Linked DNA regions of Astyanax mexicanus. The protein of the gene in region 1 interacts with the protein of each later gene in a biochemical or structural test. Links are inferred from orthologs where the notes say so. Each region holds a gene or a part of one and is shown on either strand. Other genes may lie near its edges.

The links.
Region 2: of the proteins of peli1b (region 1) and irak4, one has a biochemical effect on the other in vitro, tested with the Homo sapiens proteins (4 studies listed by BioGRID and IntAct). The link is inferred for Astyanax mexicanus from reciprocal best matches to the Homo sapiens genes PELI1 and IRAK4.

Annotation. Positions count from the first base shown.
Region 1 is NC_064421.1:30,822,765-30,836,044, reverse strand, and holds the start of peli1b (E3 ubiquitin-protein ligase pellino homolog 1b), read left to right. Parts: upstream 1-6,910; 5' UTR 6,911-7,372; intron 7,373-13,280. UniProt on the Homo sapiens protein: E3 ubiquitin ligase catalyzing the covalent attachment of ubiquitin moieties onto substrate proteins. Involved in the TLR and IL-1 signaling pathways via interaction with the complex containing IRAK kinases and TRAF6.
Region 2 is NC_064409.1:52,322,661-52,335,069, reverse strand, and holds the start of irak4 (interleukin-1 receptor-associated kinase 4), read right to left. Parts: upstream 5,577-12,409; 5' UTR 5,177-5,576; coding exon 5,013-5,176; intron 2,928-5,012; coding exon 2,782-2,927; intron 2,423-2,781; coding exon 2,246-2,422; intron 1,893-2,245; coding exon 1,732-1,892; intron 1,078-1,731; coding exon 1,022-1,077; intron 934-1,021; coding exon 819-933; intron 560-818; coding exon 450-559; intron 1-449.

The DNA.
Region 1 (13,280 bases):
GGGCCTTTACTCTTCTAAGAGGGCTTTACACTAGATGTTGGAAGATGTCTGTGAGAATTTGATTGTATTCAGCCAAAAGAACACTTGTATTTGTTATTGTATGAATGCCAGCTTCTGTCTAGTTTGCTAGCTCGCAGTTGTAATAATTGCAAATAGTTGTGGATAAGAATATTTACATTTGTATACATTTGTATTTATTTTAGGTTAATAATGCCAAGTGATTAGCTGCTGAGTAGGCAGGCACACCACACTACAATAATAAGAGTCAACAGGCAACTCTGGATATGAGCCTCAAACAGAGAAAATAGCATTCTGAAAACCCTGGTGCCTCTAAACCTTGGACAAGAACTTTTTCACACCATTTCAAGCAGTCTGCAGCACTGAAACTCACAGACTTATGCATGTATAACATGTACAGAATGAGACTGCTTCGTTTTCTTACCCCTTCCTACTTCGGGACGTCCCAAACACTCAGTCAACATATCTGTGCCCGTGGCTACAGTTGCCATGGCTGGCTGACAACAGTGAGAGTCCCCCTCTCAAACACAGAACTGTACGGATATGAAGTGTTCTGTTAACCATGCCAGCGGGGAACCTATCACTTAATCCAGTCACATCCCCCCTCCCCAACCCAAATCCTGTCAGACCACGGTCCCTCACCCCACCCCTCAACTTTCTGTTCCTCTTCTGTTTCCATCTCCCTCAATTTCTGTCCTGCGATGCCCTCCCCTCATCCCCCAGCTCTTGGTTTGACGCAGCTGTTGCTATGTTTTTCATGGTATCACATCGGTAACAGATCCGGACTGACCCAAAATGAGATGGAGACATTTTCCAAATGAGAGTCGAAAAATTGTATCTCTGATCTCAAAACAATACACATTTCATATAACTCAAATTAGGCCAACTAAAAACTTAAAGTCAATTTTTAAACTTGTGAGTCCTATTATTAAAGGGTTTTTGTGAAGCTCCAGAACTATGATGCTATGTATCTCAAATCATATTGGTGTAAAATCCTGTAATTATACTCTACTGCCTCAGTCTGCATATTTCCTTCACTTCAGATGCTACTTCTGTGTCTCTCAGCTAGTCAACAATTGCAAGTTTACAGCTGCCAATGAGTGGATGTTCAAGGTTCTGTTAGTATTCACAGCAGTGGAGAAAAAGTAAATGGCACACCACAAATATAAGAAGTGCCAAGGAGCAAATTATACCTATTTTTGTGTAATGCAACTTGTAAAACTCACAGACATAGAGCACCTAAACAGCACTATTGTTTAAAAAATTTCTTTGCATTTTTTATTTTTAACACAACATTGTGTATCTGGCTGTTATAATATAAATCATATAAACTGCATTTTAAACAGGAATAGTTATTATTGAGCTGCACTGTGATGTCATAATGCATGTGAGTGTGAAAGATCAAAGTGTTGTATGGAACCTTGAGTGTGTGTGTGTGTGTGTGTGTGTGTGTGGGTGTGGGTGTGGGTGCGTGTTCCTGTGTGCGTGCCCTCATGCTTCCTGGCTCAGAACTTTAGAAACGGTGTTGGTGAGGTGTTGGTTTTGTTGCTGTGGCGACGTAAATACAAATGACAGTCAGATGTAAACTGATTTATCTTTGCCATCGCAGGTATGCAGGGTGTGTGTTTGAGCACTTGTGTGTCTGTGTGTGTGTTTGAGTGTGTCCACTGACCCGAGGTCACTGCGTCTTGATGTGATGACGCGTGACAGTTAATCTCAGACTGGGTTGTGTACTGGATTGTTTATTTGTTTACTCGCCTGACTGGCGTCATTATTACTGGACTGGAATATGAGAATGTCATAACATGGCCCAGCTCTGACCTGCTGACCAGAGGGGAATTTCATAAAGCTGGATTTATCAGGAGGCCAGAAACATCAGTTAGGCTTAGTCCTTCAGTTTTAACTCATGGCTTAATGGGCAATTCAACTGATTACTTTTTACTTCTGCATAATTAAATGATTATTATGCAATTAAATGCATATATTTGCATTGGGTTTAGTCCGAACTGTATTTAAAGAAGTGGTTTTCAACTGTTGGGCCACAGCTAAGAGGGTACTTACAGCTTTTGCCGACCTGTTATGTTTTGTAAAATAAAAATTCTAATTTTATAAATGTGTAAACCCCAACAGATGTTTCATAAAAACTTTAGTTTCCTTTCAGAGTTGATTTTTTTATGAGATACTATACTAATAATATACTATAAAATACTCCTTCAAACTTGGACCATTGATTGCAGACAGGATTTGTTAATTTACACAAATAAAAATTTAATTGTTCTACGAAATTCATTCAAGACCATGTTGCAAAAATGAGTACACCCCAATGAAAGGCTAAGGATCAAAGCTAGAGTTTAGACCAAAACATTTTTATTAACACAATTTATACCCCAGGTGATTCTAAATATCGTTGCTGTCCAGTGAAAAACACTTATCTCCAAAACAGCAACTTTACAGGAGAGAGAAAAAAACCTTGTAAACTTTCAATGAAAGTCAATGTAAAAAGAGTTTTGTTTCAGGTCATTTTGAAGCATTTCTATTGGTCCGTTCATCAAGAAATTTTGGCACAGTGTAAGGGACAGTTTGTCTGTTCAAATTATGTAGTAAACCATAAATCTACAAAAATGGAGATAAGTGTTTTTCATTGGACAGCGACGATATTCTTTACACAGGTGCCCAGCATTACTTAACAAAAAAAACTTCCCTTTTCATTCTGTCAACAATGGCAATATATGGAAAAGAGAGACAAAAATACCTGAGATTTTTTTTTTTACACAAGAAAGGTTTAGCCTACAAAGCAAAGCTTTGCTTATCGATACAAGATCAGTAAAGCCTTACTTATCAGTCAGAATACTCAAGCAAATTCATAAAAAAATGAACAAAGATGGAACTGCTACCATCTCACAGAAGTTAACACCTAGACAGGAGCGTCTTCTCGTGAAAAGTGTTGCATAAATTGTCATGTAGTTTAACTGCAGTTAACTAAAGGAGTAGAAAGCTAAACTGGGGTGACTGTTTCCTGTGACACAATATGGCATACACTGCAGAGAAATGACCATAGACATGTATACACAGATGCCGCTTCGACTGACGCCATCTATTGAAGCTGGCATGTCAGCCGGCCGCCATAATGGAGGAGTCAAGCATGCGCCCTCAGTGCATTTAGCAGTACTGAGGAAGGTGTTTAATACACCTATAATCACAACTCTTTTTTTTTTTACCTCATTTTCACACGGTTTGGTTTGTTAATAATGTAGTAATGATACATAATTTCAAATATGTGCTTTTATGCTGAAATACTTACGTATTATGCTCAGACATATGGTATGGCACATTAATAATGTAAAATGTATTAAAAAATAATTTTATATTTATATACATTCACACACACATGGCTTAGGCACGTGGCTTAGGTACACCATGCAGAGAAACTATGTTCCTCCGGACCCATGGTGCAACATGGAACAACAATACAGTAGACAACATACAGTGCAAACGTGCAGCATACTCTTGCATGATTGCGAGTTTAAGTTGGGTTTTAGCAACAATTACTAAACAAAACAGTTTTTTGTTACCGAAGTGGCTGCTGAGACTAGTTGGACTTCCATCTCAAATGTCAAATTATAAATAAAATAAAAAAAACAAGCAAATTCGTTTTCATTATTCTGGCTCTTTTTGAACAGGGTAAGTGTATCATGTTATGTTCAGCATAAAAATAGTAATAAAAGTAAAGATAGAAAAAGAGAAAGACAGAGTTGTGTTAAAGTGCTAATTGGGACTGTGATTTTATCAGCTACTGCAAAAAGATAGCACTTACAGGTGTAATGAGACAGCATCAGTTATAGTCACATGACACTCCTGAGGTATTTTTAAAATGCTTTCCAGTGGACGACAGTGTGCTCATCTTTGGATTGTGTCACAAACCAGACCTCTCTGTTTGCATGTGGGTGTATATTGGCTAATGTGCCCGAATAGCCCTGGGCCTTATGACAGAGCATGGGTTTGTTGGGTGTGTGTGTGTGTGTGTGTGTGTGTGTGTGTGTTTCTGTTTACCTTCACCACAGAGTTCAGTCAGAGGTTTAGTTTATGTGTGTCTGGCCTGTCTGAACATCCTGAGCTGCTGTACGGTGATCATGGTGGCCTATTATTCCTCACAGAGATTTAGAGCTTAAGAGGCTGAACATGTAACCTAGCAGCAATGACAACTATGAATCGGACTAAACAAAACAGTGCATGTACAGTGGCATTCAAAAGTTTGGTCACCTCTGACCAGAGGCGTGCAGACATAGACATCAGGTGGTGCTAAGCACCACCAACTCTGCCCTTTATCAACCAAAGTGCCCTTTGAAATTTCGTTTTTTTATATTATTATTATTAAGATTTTACTGAGGCCGGTTTGAAATCATCTTTTGAAAACCTGAGCGATTAAAAACGAGTGAAAACAGAATGCCCTGAAATCAGCTCGCACACACCCGACCTCTCTCTTCCTCTGTCACGTGACCCCGCGCGGTGGCGCGCAAGGCACATTAGTTGCGCTGCAGCAGCAGTTCAGTTCAGCGAGTCTTCAGCACAGCACGCACGGCAACAGATAGGCTTCTTCTCCCCCGTGTCCCACCAGCCAGGTAACATACACATCAAGTAAAATCGTACCGTTTACCCTCTAAGTCCAACGTGAAATCATTTTGTTGTGCAGTAAAATGTCTCATACAGCACCAAACTACTAAGCATCTTTAGCCGACTGGTCACCAAATAAACTAGCCGCTCTAGCCCAAATCAATGATATATCACATTTTTTTTATAATGAAGTGTTCCACGTGCGCTAAAAAGTGCCCTTTTTCCCCCCTGAGCACACCACTGCCTCTGACCAAGGTAACATTTCTATTCTTAGTGAGTAGAAGATGAACTGATCTCCAAACGGTTAAAAAGTTGAAGATGAAACATTATTTTAAACATTTTAGGCAGGTTTAGTGTACAAAAGTAAAGTAGCATCATACAAAACATACAAAAAGTAGCTCTCAGACTATTTCTATCAAGGTCTTAGAGCTTAATCAATTTTTTAGGGCAATGGCTTATTTATAGTCGTTGTTAGAAAGAATCAGATTTTGCACATTTTCAACCTCTGTAAAGTCTCCTTATCCTCAAACCTAATCTCAACAATCATCGGCCATGGGCTTGCTTCTCTAAGCAGCTGCCTGACACTAAACATTATAATAATAGATGACCTCAAAGCAGGAGAATGCTGTAGGAAGGAGAAGAAAGCAAACATGTTCAGGTGTCCATTTAATAAGAACATTTACAGTCAAGTTGTTGCATGAAAGAAACCAAGAAAGAATTCTGCATTGGTGGTGACACATGCATAAAATATGGTTCCAATTGAAGAATATTAATGAGATTAACACCTCTTCCTCCGCCCTTGCCACAAAAATCCACTTTTTTTATGTTAAATTACTAAGTATTGACCAAGGAGGGTGCATTTCGCTTTTGTAAAATAATGGTATGACCAGTAATGAGCAATAGATAATAAAGCAATGCAGTTTGTGTGATCTCCACAAAAAAAACCAATGTTTCAAATACAATGTTTTTTTCTCTTTTAATAAGGGCCAATCTTGTCGCTTGTCATGTTGACAACAAACACAGTTTGTCACAAAGATTTTCAGCTCTCATTTAGAAACATTTCGGTACAAAACATGGGACTTGAAACATGAAACGTTTCGAAACTGTGTGACGTAACAAAACTTGATTTGGGACAGTCACATGTTTTTTTCAAATCATTTTATTTTTAATTTTAATCCCATTTTTTCTCCCAATTTATGCAGTGTTGATGCCCCACCACCAGGAGGGTAAAGACTCCTCCGATACATGTGAAGTCGGCCACCGCCTCTTTACAAACTGCTGCTGATGCAGCATTGCTGAGTAGCATCACAGCGCACTTGGAGGAAAGCACAGCGACTTGTTTCTGATACATCAGCTCACAGACTCCTTGTGCTGATTGACATCACCCTTTGGAGTGCTGTGGGTACACAGCGCCATCTACCCACTCAGCAAGGCCAATTGTGCTCTCTCAGGGCAGTGTATTGAAACACTGTGATTTAAATAAATCGATTTAACCCCTGAACCTGCTTAATTTTTTATAAACCTGTCCTAACCTTTAAAAAAACACTTTTATTGCATTCATTTCCAACTCTGCAGTGCCCTCACAGGTTCAACTGTGCTATAGGCGAGGATGCTGTGTCTGTGAACTTTGGTATGCAAATCAGTCAATTAATAATACCGGCCCCTGTGGACGTCCAACCATCTTCGTCTCACCACTATCAGAGGCACACTGCTCAGCTTAATCAGCGCTCCCTTCTGTCCACGCCCCTAAACCCATACATCACCCCAGTGTTTCTTAAAAAACTACCCCTCCCATTTTTCTTCTTTTTTTTATTTGAGCTGAGGGTGGAGTCAGGGGGTTTAGTTACCCTTTATAGCTGCAAAGTGTGTGCCGACCTCATATTAAACTCTATGGATTTTATATGAGTTTATATGTGTGAAAAGTCAGACTTTAATGTTTATTTATTAAGTAATTTTTATATTTCAATGATAAAATAGTTATTATAAACAGTCTATATTTAAAAAAAAACATTGTCATTTTCAAGAACGTGTCAGCTACAGTATTTTAACGCTATTTTTTAGTCAGGATTGAGAGAAAATTTTGAATAAAAAAAGGAATTTCAAAAGAGTTTGGCAGAAAATATTAACATTTTTCCTAAAGTTAGCGTCTACATAACCAGCTAACTAACTAGCTGAGGTTTCTCTTTGTTAGCCAGCTGAGCCGGCTAACTACATTTCCCACAATGCATCTGACAGTAATCAGTGACGCTGGCAGCTTTTCTCCCCGTTCTCCATCCACTACACAGCAGCAGCAGCACTCAGTCAGCAGCAGCAGCAGCACAGTGTGTGTTTATGTTCAGAGCTGCAGGGGGAGAGCGGAGCGCCGCCGCCGCCGCCGCTGCTGCACTTATTTATGACCTGCCGTCTGTGGGGAGAATTTAGAGAGCAGGGGTTTCACGAAACCGGGTCAGATACAGAAACCGGGTCAGACCCAGAAACACAGCGCGCTGCTCGCGTGTTTATTCTTCTGACATTTGAAAGAACTCCTCATACCTTGCCTTTGTTAGCAACTTAGCAACTGGGCTAGCTAGCTGTAGTATTGTGTGTGTGTGAACCGTTTTATTGAGCTAACGGCTAACAGACCATTTTTACAGTTTTTTAATTTAAAATTATTAACGGCTGTAACGGACTCCTCTCTGAGAAACGACTAGAAGAAAAGCGGTGCATACAACTAAAGATATAAAAACAAGAAACCAGCGAATTTGTAAGTATCTGGTGCTGTCAGCTTTGTTTCATTTTACGTTTTAGTTGACTTTCCAAGCTGTTTTTGTGTAAAACACATCTTTCATACACTTATTTTCTTTGGGTTAGCTGGCCAAATTCGTCAATTGAAATGCTAACCATGTTATGTTAACATTTTCCCATGAATTAACTAGCTTCTTAGCTGTAATAAAGACAATACAGTATGACAGTATTTTATTGCATAGTGATACAGCGTTAATTTGTTATCGTAATATTCTATAACCTGCACAAGCTTTTTAGTCTATAGTAACACAATATCACGATATCACCGTATTTGTAAGTATCTGGTGCTGTCAGCTTTGTTTTATTTTTTCATTTTAGTTGACTTACCAAGCTGTTTTGTGTAAAACACACCTTTTATACACTTATGTTCTTTGGGTTAATTAATAAAAAGTGTCAATTATAATGCTAACCATGTTTTTTTTATACAATTTTCCACAGAATTAGCTTTTTTGTTGCAATATGTAGCTAGTTAGCTAGTAAGAGATGGACAATACAGTTTGACAGCATTTTATTGTATCGTGATATAATTAGTTGTTGTAATTAATATTCTATAATATACACAATACGTTTTAGTCTAAACCATTTATACAAGTACTAACTCAGTAAGTTACTGTGTTTTAATGGTAAAAACTTAAATTACAGTAATAATACATAAAATATCTGCCTTGCAGTGCTTGTAAGTTCAGATATCAACTATTTAACATGTAGTTCAGCCTGTCAGTGTATTTACATTATTGACTTAAAGTACAATAAATGGACATGACAGTTATAATATACTCTATAAAAGATAATATAATATCTTTAATAACTAACATAATAAGTGACATGCATACACATACACAGTGTTGACTGCAGTAGGTGAAGAAAAAAAAGTAGCTTATATATTTCACAAACTGTAAATTACTATTTATTAAAATGTTGTTGCCCTTAAAAGTTATAATTGCTTTATTATGCTATTCTATTATCATTATATCAGTGTCGTTTAATTGTCTTAAAATGACAATAATAATGTTTATCGCAATAATTTCTAGTATGAAATATTGTCCACACTAAATTCTTATCTTGACAGGCCTACAAGTTATAATATCAGATCTATACTAGTCATATTACCAGGACCACATTATCCCTAATATATTTCTGACTAGTCCTATATTACCATTGATTTACACAGAATTGTACGTACCATTAAATACATAAGTTACCAACATCTATAGCTACTTTTTTTAAGAGTAGAAATTGGAGTTGTATCTCAGCTGCAATGCTGCCTAGTACAAAATCCAGGACTACGTCCGTAAATATATTCCGACTGATACAAATGCTAATGCTAATGAGCATTTAGCTATTGACTGTAATATATATTATACATAATCAAAATTCCATTAAAAATTTGTGCTCCTGGTAATGCAATTAGACTGGTTTTATGGATCTGGTAAAGAAAATCACAGCTATCATCTTACTCTTTGATTAGTTTGGTCAAGCTGGTCATAGTGGTGGATTAGTTTGGTGGACAAACTTCTCATGGTGGTCAACCAGCTCAGTTATACTCAGTGAGTTTGTGTGGTCAAGGTGGCCATGATTGTATGTCAGCAAAACCAGTCATCATCAGCACAATTCAGTAGAAACTTTAGATTTGTTTTATTTTAATTTATTTGACTTTTTAGAAATGATACCCTCAAGACAAGTTCTAGGGTAGTGTTTTTAATAGTTAATGGCTTAAATGGTTCATTCCATTTGCAGCAGTATACAGCTTTTGCGTAGCAACCTGTTGGACCTGTCCTAAATGTAAATGATAATGTTTAAGTACAGCTTTAGATGACTGGATAAAGTGGTTATGTATTTAACAGTGCAGTTTGGATTGGCTTCTGACTATTTGCATTGCCCTCTGGACTGTTGTGTCGGGCTATTGTTCTGCTGAATTTCACCCCCCCACCCTGGGGTGATTTGCATAGTCAGATAGCGTCCTCCAGGCTCAGCATCTGGCTGGCCGAATGGGGCTTTTGTTCCGTGTTGACGTGCTGCTTTGAATCACTTTTGTTGACATCCTTAACCCCCCCTTTCCCTCAGGCCTTATGGACGACCAGGAGTCCGCTTTGTGTGGAGCTCTGCTTAAATTATTATTCTTCAGCTCTGGTTGCCAATCATTGATGTGTATGTACTGTTGGTTTCTGACATTGGTGAGCTTGTTCGCTTGCTCGATTTCTTTGGACATTATTATACTTTCTGCTTTGTGAAAACAAGCTAAAATATTTCATGCTGCTTTTTTGTAGCTTTACCAACTAATTATTATATATATATATCTTTTTTTTTGTACTAAAATCTAAAGAAGTTCATCACGTCAGTTAAACTGTATGGTTCAGAAAAAAATGTAACTTGTGGGCCTATTTTTTTTTTTAACGACAACAAAAATGGAAAAATCTATTCAAAATTTAGAATGAATTAAAATCTAAATCTCTCATATCTGAAACACACTTTTAGATTGTTCATCTGTGGCACATTTATACAAAATTACATCGTCTCAGACCAGCCAGAACACGCATAGAGATTTTTTTTTTCCTCCTCATCATTTTAAATTACGATGTTGGGCACGGATGGGTTAAAATGTTTAACGACCCATGTTGAAACACCTTTTTGTGCAGCCTGGACATTGATGGAGCTCCTTTTCCTGGTCCAGCTGAGTCTGCGGAGTGCATTGGCTGGAGGAAAAGGGTGTGGAACATGCCTTTCTAATGCAATCAAATAAACACGGGTCCTTGAATGCTGGCGCCCAGCCAGTGGTGTCACTTTCCACTCTGAAATATAGATAAGAGACCTGACTTACTGCGGGGAAACTCAGCACGGGCCGCTCCGAAACTGGTGTCGTCATCCTGATTCACTCGAAACCCAAAGCCAGTTTGCTCAAATTGTTCAAAAATGGAATGGAATGGGAGAAGAGAGTAGCATAAATATTTTACTGGAACTTAAGATCTTAGACCTTCATAGCTGGCCTTTCGTTGTTTATTTTTTTCTGTCGTTTTAGTCTGGCGTCAGATATCTATCATATGAAGCAGAGTATCCTGTCAAACCTGGTCTGCAGACAGTCTTATGTAAGAGATTTAGAAATGTGTATGTCATAACATCTAGTCATAGGGGTTAATTGATGAGAATCTAAAAAGTTATTTTAATTACTTACATTTACATTTTTTAAACATTGTAAGCAGTAATGAAAAGCATGGGTGACTGATGTTGGGAGCAGCAAGGGTCAGGGGATTTTCTTGACCTCAATTTAGGGTTATTAGCTGAAAAACTGGCAGCTGCCTAACTTAAAGCATTATGGGGTGGCAGCACTTACCGTGTTTGTTTCATGTTTAGCTGCTCTAGGCAGTAGATTGCACTCTAGTTCATAGATCGGATCAGCTCAGTGTCAGCATTGGCGTGGAAAGGTGATATCTCCTCTAAATCCAGCTGGACCTGCAGATCAGATAGCTGTGAGGACGTATAATGGCTTGATAAAAAAGACCGGAAGGGAAGACTCTTCTGCCACAGCTCTATAAAGGTTTTAGGCATCTAATCACATGTATTATAAAAAGAATTCTCTCAACAAAAATAGTTTAATTTAAAGTAGTTATCAAGAATACTTTTAATCTAATATTAGAGCTAATCAACACTTACTGCCCAAATAAAGAGTCCTTGAGACCATGATAATGTATTCAATTCGAGCAGCCTGAGGATGAATCAGTCATAACACGGTCATAACTTTATTTCCTCTGCTGATACAGCTCTGTCACACACTTTTTTTTTTGCCCTGTAACATCACTCACTTTCTCATGCTACGCCACCGTTGGAGAAGCCAAAACGGAAAAGATTTGCAAGTGTGTTGCCCACCTTTTCTTTAATTCAAAGAAAAGGTTATGCTGGTTAAATGGATACCGTGTGAAGAAACCTGGTACTTTTGAGGGGGAATGGTGCCAGATAGCTCCAGGATGTACATTTGTCATGAGAAACAGCTGGCAAGCAGCATTGTTTTGATGCATCACACTTGCGTGATGGAAATAATCAGGTGTTGTATAGTTGTATAAACTTATGTTGAACTTGCAAGACAAATTCTGTTGTATAAATATTACTATAGTCAGTCATATATGATAATAGTCAGTGAAACCAGCAGAATAGTCTCCTTATTTACCAACTTGTTGAGGATATATATAGTTTATAGTTGTTATTAGGATTGTTCCATTGTTAAAATATGTAATGTAAGGGTTGTTGGCATATTTTCATCATAAGCAAATTAAAATTTGATGGTTTTGTTTCAGATGTTTCATATTATAGAGAAGAAAATCTGAATATTTTTAATCAGTTTTAGCAATTTTACTGGACATGCTCTTTTAAAGCTGCAGCTTAGTGTAGTGTTTGCTTCATCTATTCCCCATCACTATTTATTTTCAGGAAGGAATCTGCAGTGTTGCATCATCCCAGATATTTTTTCCAATGTGGCTATCCTGCAAGTTTGGTCTGCCTGTGCGTGGTGAAGTTTAGGGGATTATGATTGTAGTGGAAAGTGGGTCAGACAGTGGGGACATGAGCGGGTGGTGGTTTAGTACTATATGTAGCAGAAAAAATTGTGAGCTGATGTCCAATATTTTCTAAAGAATTTGGAATTCACTGAATTATTCTTTATCTTCTTCTGGTTTGAGTTTCCTGTTGTGGACAGGCAAGGGTTTAATAGCATTGTAGAAGACATATTGCAGGAGGACCTCTGGAGAAACTTGGGGTTAAGTGCTTTACACAAGGTCACAGCAGCAACAAGCAAAGTAGGGCTGGAGGGCAGTGGAACCCACAGTAGCAAGTGCCAAAATTTGGGGATTTTGAGGGCTCATGTGAGATTACAACAGCAGGTAACATCAGAAGGTCAATTAGGTGAAGCAACTTTAACCAACCTTTTTCTGGAGCCTCTGTCAAAGTTTAAAGGTAGTTGTACTTTGGTTGATCCTGCTTCTCTGTGATGCTGCAGTAACGCTTTGTTTCAGTCACAGTGCAGATAAAACAGAAGACCTCTTCCTACCATTTACCAGTCTCCTGGTCTGAGTTCCTGTTCTGCCATGCAGTATTCAAACCAGCGACCCAGTCATCAGTGGTATAACAATCGTGCTCCACTTATACCAGCCAAAATGTGCGTTATGGAGTACAGCTGTCAGAACTCCCCAGAACCCCCGCTGTTGATACGGATGCAGCCATATTTTACGTTAGCTTTTTAGCAGCTTTAAGGACTGCAGCTTTTCCGCTTCTCTCAGCTTATTTTGTTTTATTGCCTTTTTCTGTAAACAGCACTGCTTCCTGTATATTGTTTTATTCTAATGGCTTTCTGGCAGGTCAGGCTGTCCGTTGTGGTTTTCCTGGTGTTATCAGTGTCTGGGGGGGAACTGCGGATTAGACAATGATAGATTTGTGGCGTGGGCCGCTGTGTTGTTTTCTGCAACAGTGAATACCATTATTTCTTACACATATCAAACCTTCACAGACTGGAACGATATAGTGTTTGTGTGTTTGGGTGTGTGTGTGTGTGTGTGTGTGTGTGTGTGTGTGTGTTTTACAACACTTTCAAGGCACACTTTTTTTTTTCTCTCCTTCATGTTTTCTTTTTTTTTTTCTTTTTTTAACATGTGCCCCATCTGGTGTGGGTTTTGTGACCTGTCTGCCTAATCTCACACCTCAGACCTGAAGTGCTAATAAAGCAATAGAACACGAGAGGGAGTGTTATCACAAGTAACCTTACACAGCTGTGACGGGGTGGTAGGCATGAGCGAAAGGTAGGCTTATGCAGGTTTTAGGTTTTACAAATGTGCAATCAAGCTGTTTAACAGAGTAAAGTGGGAGGGGCCAGATTGGCATATTAT
Region 2 (12,409 bases), on another chromosome or scaffold:
CTGTGATTCAAAAAATTTATTTACATGTATACAGATAATCAAATCAATGGTAAAATTATGGGTTTACATAAATTTAATTAAATTAATTTAATCTGATCCAATCTAATTTGAATAGGAGAAAACAAAAAGAAATGAGAGTAAGTGTATGAATATACTGAGGAATCTGAGCTTTTAGCACAAATCTAAAATAATCTGAGTATGCTGTTTACATTATAATTAAATAAAACTGATGTAATTACTAGTGCATGTAACACACTTAACGTTTGTACATAATTTGTGAATGCCAATTGCCAGTAGAAAAAGGTAAAAAAATCAAATGTACATAAAATTATATTCTTTTTTTATTGTTGTGTCCTAATTACCATCAAGCATGAACATACACTAAACATTAACAATGCATATGCTCTTATTTAGATGTACTAGTTGAACAGAACTAGTAAGTGTTATACCTTTTCACATCTCGATGTATGTGGTTGTGTTGGTGAAGGTATTCCAGTCCTCTTGCTGTGCCCAATGCTATTGAACACCTCAACTTCCAGAAGAGAGGATCACTTCCCCCCTACATAGAAAGGAAAAAACTATGAATATGTCCTCTTTTAAAAACCCTGGATTCCTGAAATCAATTATTACGAGCACTCTTTGCTAATAAATAATAAAGTAAACTCCAACGCACTTGATCTTCTTGCTTTTTCACAGACAAAAGAGAATACTAACTTAGAGATGTGTAGCTACTACTGTTCCTTTCTGATCTTTCAGTGCCAGGCAGAATCTTTTTTTTTTGTAAGTGTGTAAGTGCAACATTTGCAGACTTTACTCACCTCACATGCTAGTCGATCCAGCAATGAACCATTTGACATGTAAGCATAGACTAAACATGGGTGCTGGCCGTCACTGGAATAACCCACCATATTCACCAGATTTACATGTTTTAACCTAAAAGAAAATGTGTGAAAAATACAAATTAACATATAATAATAACAATTAAACAGATGCAGTAAAGTTTCTGCTGCTAGTACTTTACCTCTTCAGTGTCTGAATCTCTTGTTTGAACTGAGCTTTCAGCTCTAATTCATCTTCCTGAAAGAAGAGCAGAAATGATTATCTCATTGCTGCATATAATTTAGATTTTCAACTTAAATATATCTGTTAAAAAATTCATTGAGATATTTACATTCACACACATATAATGAGGAATACTATCTGACTTACAATGATACAATGATAAAATAAAATCTGATTAGTACATAGTACATCTTAACGTAAGAAAAGAATGGTCCTGGAGGGCCGTCATATAATATATGCTAGTACTATCATGTTCTGTGTGATGTGCTCTGTGTGTGGTGTTTTGTACATTGAGTCACTTGTCTGTTACATTGACAATTCTGGAAAACCTGATGTTGCAGGTCACAATCATCACCAACGACTGTGCTGTCCACTGTGGGTGATAATGTGATCTGATGTATTTCTGGTACATATGTTACACTGTGGATCGAAAAGTATTAAATGCCTGCACAAATTCTAAAATGAAGTATCCCATCCATCCATCTGGCACTCACTATCAACCTTGGATGCAACATGATAATACATTTTAAACTGCCATGAGTGCTACCACTCCCGTGACTTTTGACATGTTAGTGTATATGGCTACAACTTACAAAAAAATCAGCTGCTGCTTATTTTGCTCAGGCTTTTTATAGCCCATAACTGTATATCTAGCATTCAAATACTTACTAAATTGAGTTTCTTCACTGCTACAGGTGTGGTGCTGAGGATGCCTTTGAACACAACTCCAAAGCCTCCCTCCCCGAGTCTCCTGCCTCCATCCGAAACTGGCCTTTCATCCCAGCTTTCTGTGATCACCGTCAGCTCTTGATATGTAAAAGTGTAGAATCCTGAATTCAGTAAAACAAGATTATTAAAAAATAATCAGGATTTTATATATACATATATAAAAAAATAGTTGAATATCAGCAGTAATTCTAACTTTCATTCAAGTCCTAAACCCATTCCTAATCAAAACAATGCTGAAATTTCACCCAACAGTTTATTAACTGTTGGATGTAGGTTTAAAGTAAATGTTAGGTTTATAATGTGATATTTTATTGCGAACTGACATTTAAACAGGTATTTGGTCGATCTCATCACATTTATTAGTGTAAAATGGATTTTGCTTTTTTGTATTGGGAGGCAAGGTCAAGTGTTGATTAAAAGGACAAAGCAATATACATAAAAAACATAGTCACACCTTCTTCATCAGGCTCCTGGTTCTCCTCTGGTTGTGTGGTGCTGTCAGGTGGGGTGTGATGTGCTTCTTCTGCTGCGAGTCTGAGGAGCTTAGTCTCCTCCCGGTGGTACTGAATGGGAGGATCTCTCTCTGCCCTCTGATTTGTGACAGGTGTTGGAGCAGGTGTTGCAGCTATATCTTATATCAGAGACACAATATTATTTTATCCAACTTATAATATGACAGCAATTCTACAACACTGATTCTCCATCTTTCATATACAGTTATAAGCAAGCGTTTGAGCATCCTGATTAAAGTGAAATGTTCTGATCATTTTCTGATCAAGTTCACCTCATTGACAGAGAATACACATTTTAATGGAAACTAAACTACACTTGCTTGATGTAACAATCTGGAGAAAATAAAACGTAATTATTAAAGTATGTTTCTTGAAAAAGATATGTAATTTATTCTCAACAACAAAACAAAATAGCAATAATAAATATCTGATCACCACCACTGTTGTTAAGCAGTTATTTAATTTATAAATCTCTTACCTGGCAGAAGGACTCTAGCAGGAGCAAACAGCTTGTTTCTGACAAGAATATCAACCAGTTCTCCAACTGTGCTGTTTGTGGTCCCCCAGTCATACAACAGCTCTACTGTGGGACTTTTACCCTGAGCCAACAGCCTTTCAAACCTCCTATTAATAAAAGAGAGTTTTGTTAATCTCAAAGCTGAAACTGATTCACATGGCAGGAAAAACTGAATGGATTAGACATATATATATATATAAATACATAATGTCAAGAGCTAATTACTTGAATTGATTGCCCTCTTAATGTGCTTGCGAGCATCAGTTGTAAAGTTGTGAAGAGGTAGAGTTGGTATACAGTCGAATCGAAATCGATCGAAATTATGTCATGGTCTCGAGCCTCGAAGTCAAAAAGATGATCGACGATCCCTCCCTCTGAGCTACGCAAGCATGCGCGCGTGCTACACAAATAGCGCTGCACACTGCAGCTGTGGACATTGTGACTGCTCAAAGAGCAGCCCTTTCTCCAGAGACATTCTCTTCTATCTCAGTTAAAAAAAAAATTTCATTCTCAGGGAACAAAAAAGTCTAAATATCTTATTTTTCATGTTTAACTGTTATAGTAGGATAGAGTTCAGTTTGTTAAGGCTCTAATTGTTCTATTATTTTGTACATGACTGTTCTTGTATTTTTTTATTATTTATTTTGTTATGTTGCTGTTTTATAGCGCTCACTGCTGCTACCAAAAAAAGCCACTAGATGGCATTCCATATATATCTTAATTAAATTATTTAAATTTGACCATTAGTGCCTAATGTGGTGTATTACAGAACACTTGTATCACTTTGCATCACTTACATCAAGCCCACCTTTTGAAATAAGATATTGTAAATTTGATGAATCAAACCAATGACTGACTAATCTAAAACTGGCATAGGCCTCTCTGCTGTAAAAAAAAGAAAATCGAATCGAGGATTTAGAGAATCATGACACCCCTAGTATACAGTGAACAACCCTATTTGAGTAATGTTTTGATCCATATGACAAAAACTATTTAACTAAGTAACAAAAAATACTTTTTTTAAAAGTAATTTATGTTGTTTTAACGCTGAAAACAACGTTGAATCAATATTTAATTTTAATTGGTTCTGCAAATGTTGAAATTTTAACGTTGAATCAACATTTAATGTTCAATGGTTGTGCTAACGTTGAAATTTTAGCGTTGAATCAACATAATGTCCTCAACCTTCTGCCTTCTGAATCAGCATTTTACATTTCATCACCATATATAATTTCTAAAAACGGTTGGATGGAGGAAAGAAAAAGTGTTTTACTTCTATTTGCAGGAACTGCTTTTTAATTTAACATCATGTTCATGTTCTAATAGTTTTACTGTTTTAGCGTTTTTGAGATCAGATGTTGAATCAGATTGGTAGTGGTGGGTAACTTTCGTTATACTCAGCTTTACTACAGTGATGTAAATTTATTGTTAACACTTTGTTAACCATAGGATTTTTTTGAGCTATTGTTTATTAAAGGTTAAACGTATGATGTTGAATCAACGTTGGGTAAGCGCAGTCACAAACACTATCAAAAACGATATGATGAAACTGGCTCTCATCAGAACCAGACCACGAAAGGAAAAGCAAGGGTTACTTCTGTTGCACAGGATAAGTTCATCAGAGTTACCAGCCTCGGAAACCAAAAGTTAACAGCACCAGAGAAAAGAGCCCTCTAAACATTTTTTTTTAAGTTTGCTACATGATTCCTTACAGACATACAAACATATATACAGCATGAAGTGTTGTAAGATTTTCTGGGAAAACACTGCACTGACTTTGGAATTGATAAAACACAGTGGATCAACACCAGCAGATGACATGACTCTCCAAACTTCACACTAGACATCAAGCAGTTCTCCACTATTTTTTCAGACTCTGGTCCACTGTGTTATATCAACGTTTATGGATATGAGGATTTCATTTTCCAGCAGGACTTGGCACACTACCCACACTGCCAAAAGTGCACAAGTTTCTGATTTTCTGATACAGTTTTCATTGGCTGTAGGCCACAATCATCAACAATAAAATAATAAACGCTTAAAATAGATCACTCTGTGCGTAATCCAGCTATATAATATGAGTTTTACATTTTAAACTGAATTAGTAACTAAAGTAACAAATCAACTGAAATAAATACACAGACCGACATTTATTTATACAAACTAATAAATGTTGAAGACTCCAGTAATACCTGAGGTGCAGCTGAGTGTATCTAGGTTCTCCTGTCGGTTTCTGTATGTCCATCAGAACAGTTCTCCACGCGTCCTGAGGGTCCAGGAAGTCTGAGAGGGTCCTGAGAGTGGAGCGACTGAGCTTCCTGATGAAGGTATCAGCTGTTACAGCGCTGCTGCTCATACTGGACCTCAGGACTCCCTCAACCTCTAATTAAAACCAGCTTCTTTAACAATACGCGGACTAAAGCCACACACACATTCACCGAGGAGCGAGTTTATGATGGCAGAGTGTGTGTGTGTTTAAGTGTGTGAGTGTGGGTTTTTCCCATATTGAGACACTTCCTCAGTTTGAAGTTATTTCCCCTTTAGCTACATCTGAACCTCTTCAACACGGAAACCAGCTCGCTCTCTCTCCTCACTCAGCTCAGGAGACAGAGCTTCAGCAGTCCTTTATCTCTGACACGTTTCTAATGTATCTCCAGCTCCTCCGCTCAGTCACAGCACTGCAGACTGGCTGCTCGGGTTTATGAGCGTCACCATGTAGGTAACTTTTAAAGTGAGATATCGATGGTGTTCGTGTACTGCTCAGTTCTGCCCCCAGTGGTGATTTTGCCCGTTTTGACCTCACTACCACTCTGGCCACAATCACATGAGGCTTAAGGTACAGAAAAACTGAAAAAGGTTAAAAAAAAAAAAAAAAAGTTTAGTGCAGGTATATACATACTGTACATGTTCGTTGTCCAATAAAACAAACAAATATTCTGTCATTTCCAATAAAATAATATTTGCAGGGGGGTCAGAGTGGTCCAGCAGGCTAAGCGCTGCCACTATGATCAGGAGATTGCCGGATATAATCCTGTTCATGTAGCTTGACATCAGCTGCCGGAGCCCTGAGAGATCACATCTCTGGGTGAGTAAAAGGCATGTGTGAGCTGACGTATCAGATCCGAGTCGTTGCGCTTACTTCCGAGCTCGCTGACTACATGGCAAATTCAAAAGAGGCAGTGATTGGCTTCACATGTATCGGAGGAGGCATGTGCTAGTCTTCATCCTCCTGGTGTTGCCTCACTAGTGATAGGGGGAGTCTTAATGAGTAGGTTGGATAATTGGCTTTGTTAATTGGGGAGAAAATGGGAAAAACAAAAATTAGAAAAAAAAACCTCTCTCTCTCTCTCTCTCTCTCTCTCTCTCTATATATATATATATATATATATATATATATATATTTACAGCAGTTATGTTGTTCTATTTACCCACAATTATTTATTATTTATACAATATACACCTACAAAATTTAACTGATTGGAAAAAGCTAAAAATTTCATTTCACACTGCTGTTTAAAAACAGCCACCTGTAAAGTAAGTATTGGGATTAAAATCCCAAATAGTAAGTGTGATATCAGTAATATCAGAATCGGTAATATCACTGTGTGACAGTAGAGGGCAGTATATGACTGTGAGAATGAGTACTGATCACACCATGCCATTCTCATTTAACAGGTGTGTTTTCAGGTCAGCTCTCATTTAAATAAGTATCTTCTTATTTCTCATAAAAATCACATTCATACATTTATTATTAATATATTAAATGACATTAATGAGTAATTATTTGTTCTAAATGCATATATGCATACAACCAGACTGTATGAAAGGCTGGCTAGAAAAAAAAACAAAGTGCATATGGAGTTTGTCAGTAAGCATCAGCATGAATCAGATAAAATAAGATTTTGTGGCCATAAAAGACAAAACAAACAAACAAAAAATAGCCAATATAAATCTTTCATGCATAATATGTATATAGAATATATATAAAAATACAAATTATAATATCATTGCTTTAGAATTAGATTGCTTTGCTAATAATAAGAACTGTAATGAGGGAGAGCGAGAGAGACAGATAGAGAGATGTGAGAGAGAGAGAGAGAGAGAGAGAGAGAGAGAGAGAGAGAGAGAGAGAGAGAGAGAGAGAGAGAGGAGAGGAAGCCCTCCTGGTGTTAGAAAATAAGAGATCCGGCCAAGAGATGCCAGAGCAATTAAAATCATCCAAACCATCCAAAGCAAAACATTTCACATAGGAAGTGGTCAGAGCCGATCATGTGATGTCAGAAAGACCTCTGTGTCAAAGTGAACCAGCATGTGAAACAGTAATCATAGCAATGACAGGGTGATGTCATCTTCAAGTACATTCATATACATTTATACATTCATTTATAATGCTTCATTTATAATGCTTCATTCGCACAGATTGTTCTAATGAGGGCAAAGCTGCTAATGTATCTACTCTATCTACTCTATCTGTAAATCATTTTTAACAAAAACACACCTTTTTAAATAAAACATTGGAGTTGGGGTTAACCCACAAATACTGCTCATCAGACTGTGAATATGAAGAAAAACTGTGAGAGAATTCAGAAAAAAATCCATGGGAAAAAGATAAGGTTATAAAAAAATCACAAGGTAGGAAAAGGCTACAATGTAAGCACTGCTGCATGAACTGTGAGGTAATAGAAGATCTATCACTACACCCAGTCAGTGTCTAAACAAATCTCAGTGTTATATGCTGTATATGTGCAGAATATGTACATATAAAATTGTTGTTTTTTTAATTTGTTGACTGCATTATTTACTTCACTGTTATTGCTGGTAGAGGCATAAGATCCAATTAATAGAATTTTCTAATATAGTTTTTATACTTTTGCATCACTATCCATCTATCAGAGCAAAAAGGGAGAACCTTTGAAAGAACCAACACTCACTTTGAATGAGCTGCAGAGTTCAGTGACTGAGACAGAAGTGAAGGTACACTAGGCAATGACATAAAACATATGCATACAACTGGACTGTATGAAAGAGTGGATAGATATGTGCATATGGAGTTTGTCAGAAGACATCAGAATGAATCAGCTAAAATAAGGTTTTATGGCCATAAGAGACAAAACAAATAAACAAAAAAAAAGCCAATACAAATCTTTTATGCAGATCTACATCTTGTCAGCAGCATTACTCAGCACAGTGTGTAGTCATAACTTCAGTGATGAAAGGGACTCCCCAACAAAACAGAGGAATAAAGAGTAGAATACTAGTATTATAATGCTAAGTCTTGGCTTGGTCTCGAAACCAGTCTCAAGACCATAAACATGCAGGCAGTTTCGTCCTTTTTTGGACTCATGGTGAAGGGCTGTTAAGATCAGCCGAGTCTGCTTCTGTCTAATTACATTACATTATATTACATTTGGCAGATACTTTTGTCTAACGTTACTTACATTAGTGAAGTACAAAAAGTAATAGAAGTTAAAGATAAAAACATCTTTAGATAGGGCCTAAAGGAGGTCAAAGGGAAATAATGGGATAGAGGAGTAAAGGAGGGGAAGAAGAAAATGAGGTTGGAAGTAGTTAGTTTGTTAGGGGTGTCTTTAAAGAGCTCTTACTCTCCTAACGTAGCTCTCCTAACGTAGCTCTAAGGTATCAGATTTATTTAATGTTATATTTTAGAAGATATATGAGATGTATTTATTCATTTCATGCACAATAAATTATGATGAATGTACAATGAGTTACAAATTATTCTATTTATTTATTATTAAAAAAAAGAAGAAAAAAACTAATTTGGTCTTGTTGTGTTCTCTCCCAGCCTCAGGCTTGATCTGGACTTTACTGCTCAACATGTTTTGGTCTTGACTAAAATATTAATAGTTACTTTGTATTGCCAGAATATAAATACATGACTACACGAAGGCAGGCACACAAACCTATAAAAGTGTAAATTATTATTCATTTATTGAGAAGCAGTAATTATATTTGTAAACATTAGATTTGTAACAGCACTATTAAGGTCTATATATATTTTTGCATTATTGTTAAGTATGCTATATTGAATTATGTGTGTGTTTGTGTGTGTGTGTGTGTGTGTGTGTGTTTGTGTGTTGCACATATCCTGTGGCCTGGGATTGTGGGAACAATCCTCATTCATATCACTGTCTGTGAGGTGTTCAGTGTATTTCCTCCAGGTAATCCAGGTTACTTCCACCTCCCAAACACATACATGATAGGTGCCTCTAGATCAAAGTGTGTGAGTGAATGTTTGTGTGTGGTGCCCTGTGATGGACTGGCACCTTGTCTGGGGGTATTACTGTCTGTCTGCACTCAAATCTAATATTGAGAAAGTTAAATTATATATATCCATATACTATCATATAAATATAGTATATACTATATATAATAATATGAACTTCATATACTTCCAACAATCTGCTTTATAAGCATATCAAGAATATTTTCAGTGCTTAAATACACACTTTTATCAAAGAGCACAATTAGTCCTCAATAATTGTATGTCCTAAATTAGTCCTGAATCATTCAGAAACTAAATAAAATTAACTTTATTATGAATATGAGTTTTTAAATAGTAGTTTTTAAGAATTTGCCAGTTTTTCATCTGCATTTTGTCTGCGTGTCAAAACATTTTGATACATTCTGCAACAAAAAATCTCTTTAAATATTTGGATATATAGTTTTTTTACCATATTGTCCAGTAGTATGTAGAACCACTGCAGGCTAAATAACTACATATGGGGATCTAGAATAATATTAATTTGTTAGCTCATTCAGTTCCTTGGATACTGTGAGCACTGGACTGTTACAAACCTTGGTGTTGTAGTTAGGTATCTTGCTGGGCAGCTTTCTAATTCAGTTGTCTTCCACTGCTGAGTTTCAGCTATTAGTGTTGTAGCTGATATGAATGAAAGCAGCCCAAAAACATGAAGAGAGTAGGAGAGAATGCAGGGGTGCAATTGAGAGAAAGCACCGGAATGAAAGCCACAAGAAGAGGACAGAGTCTATAGGCATTATTTGTCTTTCTGTAAGAGTCTTGCCAGCTTCCTCCCCCTCTCGCTCTGACAGACAGGGTGAGCCATGGGGGGCTATTCTCTCCATCTCTCCATTCTCTCCTCCTCACTATCTCGAGATCCTCTCCAAATCTGTGTGTCAAAGGAACTGAAGATTCACCATGCATCTGCATTCAGGAGGGGGAAGCATCGCTGTGAACACAGGCTAAATGGCTAAGGCACAGTTGTTGAACTATTTGGACCCGTCTGGAATTTCACAATGAGGATTTAACAAATAGAAAATTCTATTTGATTAGTATTGGGCTGGTTGGTTTTAAAGGACTAATCTTAGTGTGCTATATTTGTTATGAAGGGATAAATGCCTTCTATAAATACAGTTCTGGGGAAAAAAAAGACCACTTAAAAATTATATGTTCCTTTGATTTTTTACCAAATTAAAAACCTCTGGAACATAATCAAGAGGAAGATGAATAATCACAAGCCATCAAACCATGATGAACAGCCTAAATCTTTGCACCAGGAGTGGCATAAAGTTATCCAAAAGCAGTATGTAAGACTGGTGGAGGAGAATATGCCAAGATGCATAAAGAATTGTGATTAATAACCAGGGTTATTCCACCAAATATTGATTTCTGAACTCTTACATCTTTGTAAATATGAATTTGTTTTCTTTGCAATATTTGAGGTCTAAAAGTCTTGAGCTCTGCATCTTTTTTGTTATTTCAGCCATTCCTTATTTTCTGTAAATAAATGCTCTACATGACAATATTTGGGAGAAATGTTGTCTGTAGTTTATAGAATAAAACAACAATGTTCATTTTACTCAAACATTTACCAATAAATAGCAAAATCATAGAAACTGATTCAGAAACTGAAGTGGTCTCTTAATTTTTTTCCAGAGCTGTATATGCTTTAGTACAAAAAGGGCACTATGGATTTTTGATGGATGTAGGCCTATAAAACTTTCCTTTTTATTAAGAATCCACAGTGTGTTTCTTGGTTTCTTGAGCACACACAATTCTTTCCATTATGAAAACCTAATAGAGTACTATGGCCAAAGCCTGAAATGTAATCATTAATACAACCTAATCGTGTCTTAAGTAAGATTTTCTAGAAAACTCCATTCTCATTGGCAAACACAGTAGGGGTCAAGGAGGCAGCTGCCCTTGCTCTAGTGCATCCAAACCCTATAAGTGCTTTTTATAATGGCAAAAATAGAGTGCCCCTTCTTAAAATAAATGATGTTGATCATTTACCTTAATGAGTGCCTGTGTATGGCTAAATGGTAAATGGTGATGCTATAAAGTGCCTTCTATGCCAACTCTATCAGAGAGTGTTCCAAATGGTGTCCTTTTCAGTAGAGAAAATAGGATGAGTTGCTGTAAAGACAAAAATGCCCAAAAAGCTTACACTAACTGTTCTCGTTCGTTACTAGCATTGACTACCAGACATGTAGCTAACAAAAACATTACTAATATATTTTGTTGTTAGCGTACCTGCTGTTCAATTACACCATTTGTAGAAGTCAGATAGGCCTAATTTGTCTTATGTAAATTATCACTTACTGCTGTCTTGTTTTTTTTCCTTTTCTTGCTTTGTTTTTATTCAATCAAATAGTAAATAAAAAAAGTTTGGATTCTCTACATAAATTCTTTAAATAACATGCAAGAAAAGCCTTTAAACCACCACAGTTTCTGCAAAAAACACTGTATGCCAATTATATTGCAAGCTAGAGCATGAGTATTATATTATATTATTATTATTGTATATTTATTTTGACTATTTTAAATGACCAGTTTTCTGTTCCAACACATAGAGGGCAGTAGTGGCATGTCAGAATACTGTGTTTGACATTAAAAGCCGTGTGACTGAAGTAAGTGATTGTTGTGTTGGACAACAACACAAACCTCTAGTTTAACCACTGTTAGCGTTAGCAAAGCTAATATAGGTAATTAATGTAGATAGAAACAGGTGTATTCCATGCTCCCAGTGTTTTAATCTGTGAACTAATGTTAGAATAAGGTAGCATTCTGAAAGTGTTGCTAAATGCTAACAAGCACACTAGCTTCTGTTCAGGCTACTTTCCTTAGCTCCTTTTAATCTTTTAAAGGATTTATTTTGAAGGCATGTTAAGAACCAGTCTCCTCCACATATAAGTCACCCCATTGCATTGATGTAGTGTCACATTCAATCCTCATTCCAGCCTTCACCTAGCCAGAGGAACCTTCTTATCAGCACAATAGGATTTCAGAAAAGCTCCTCCTGATATCTTGTGTTCTTTTGTTCAGGTTCGGACAGGATATAGCCTTGAGTTAAATCCCTGGGAATCAGTGGGCAGTTACAGCTCAGTCCTGTGACCTTTGATTACTGAACAGTCTCTTTCATTATCTCTAGTGAATCATTGATGGGGGCTAACCAACACCAGTGGTACTTGTTTGGGATGTGGACGGGATGTGGGGGGGGGGGGGGGGGGGGGGGGGGGTATGTGTAATTGACAATAGCTGCCCTTTAACCTTGATGTGAGATCAGCGTTGCAGTTTCATTCATGAGGTGAAGGTTAAGATTTGGGG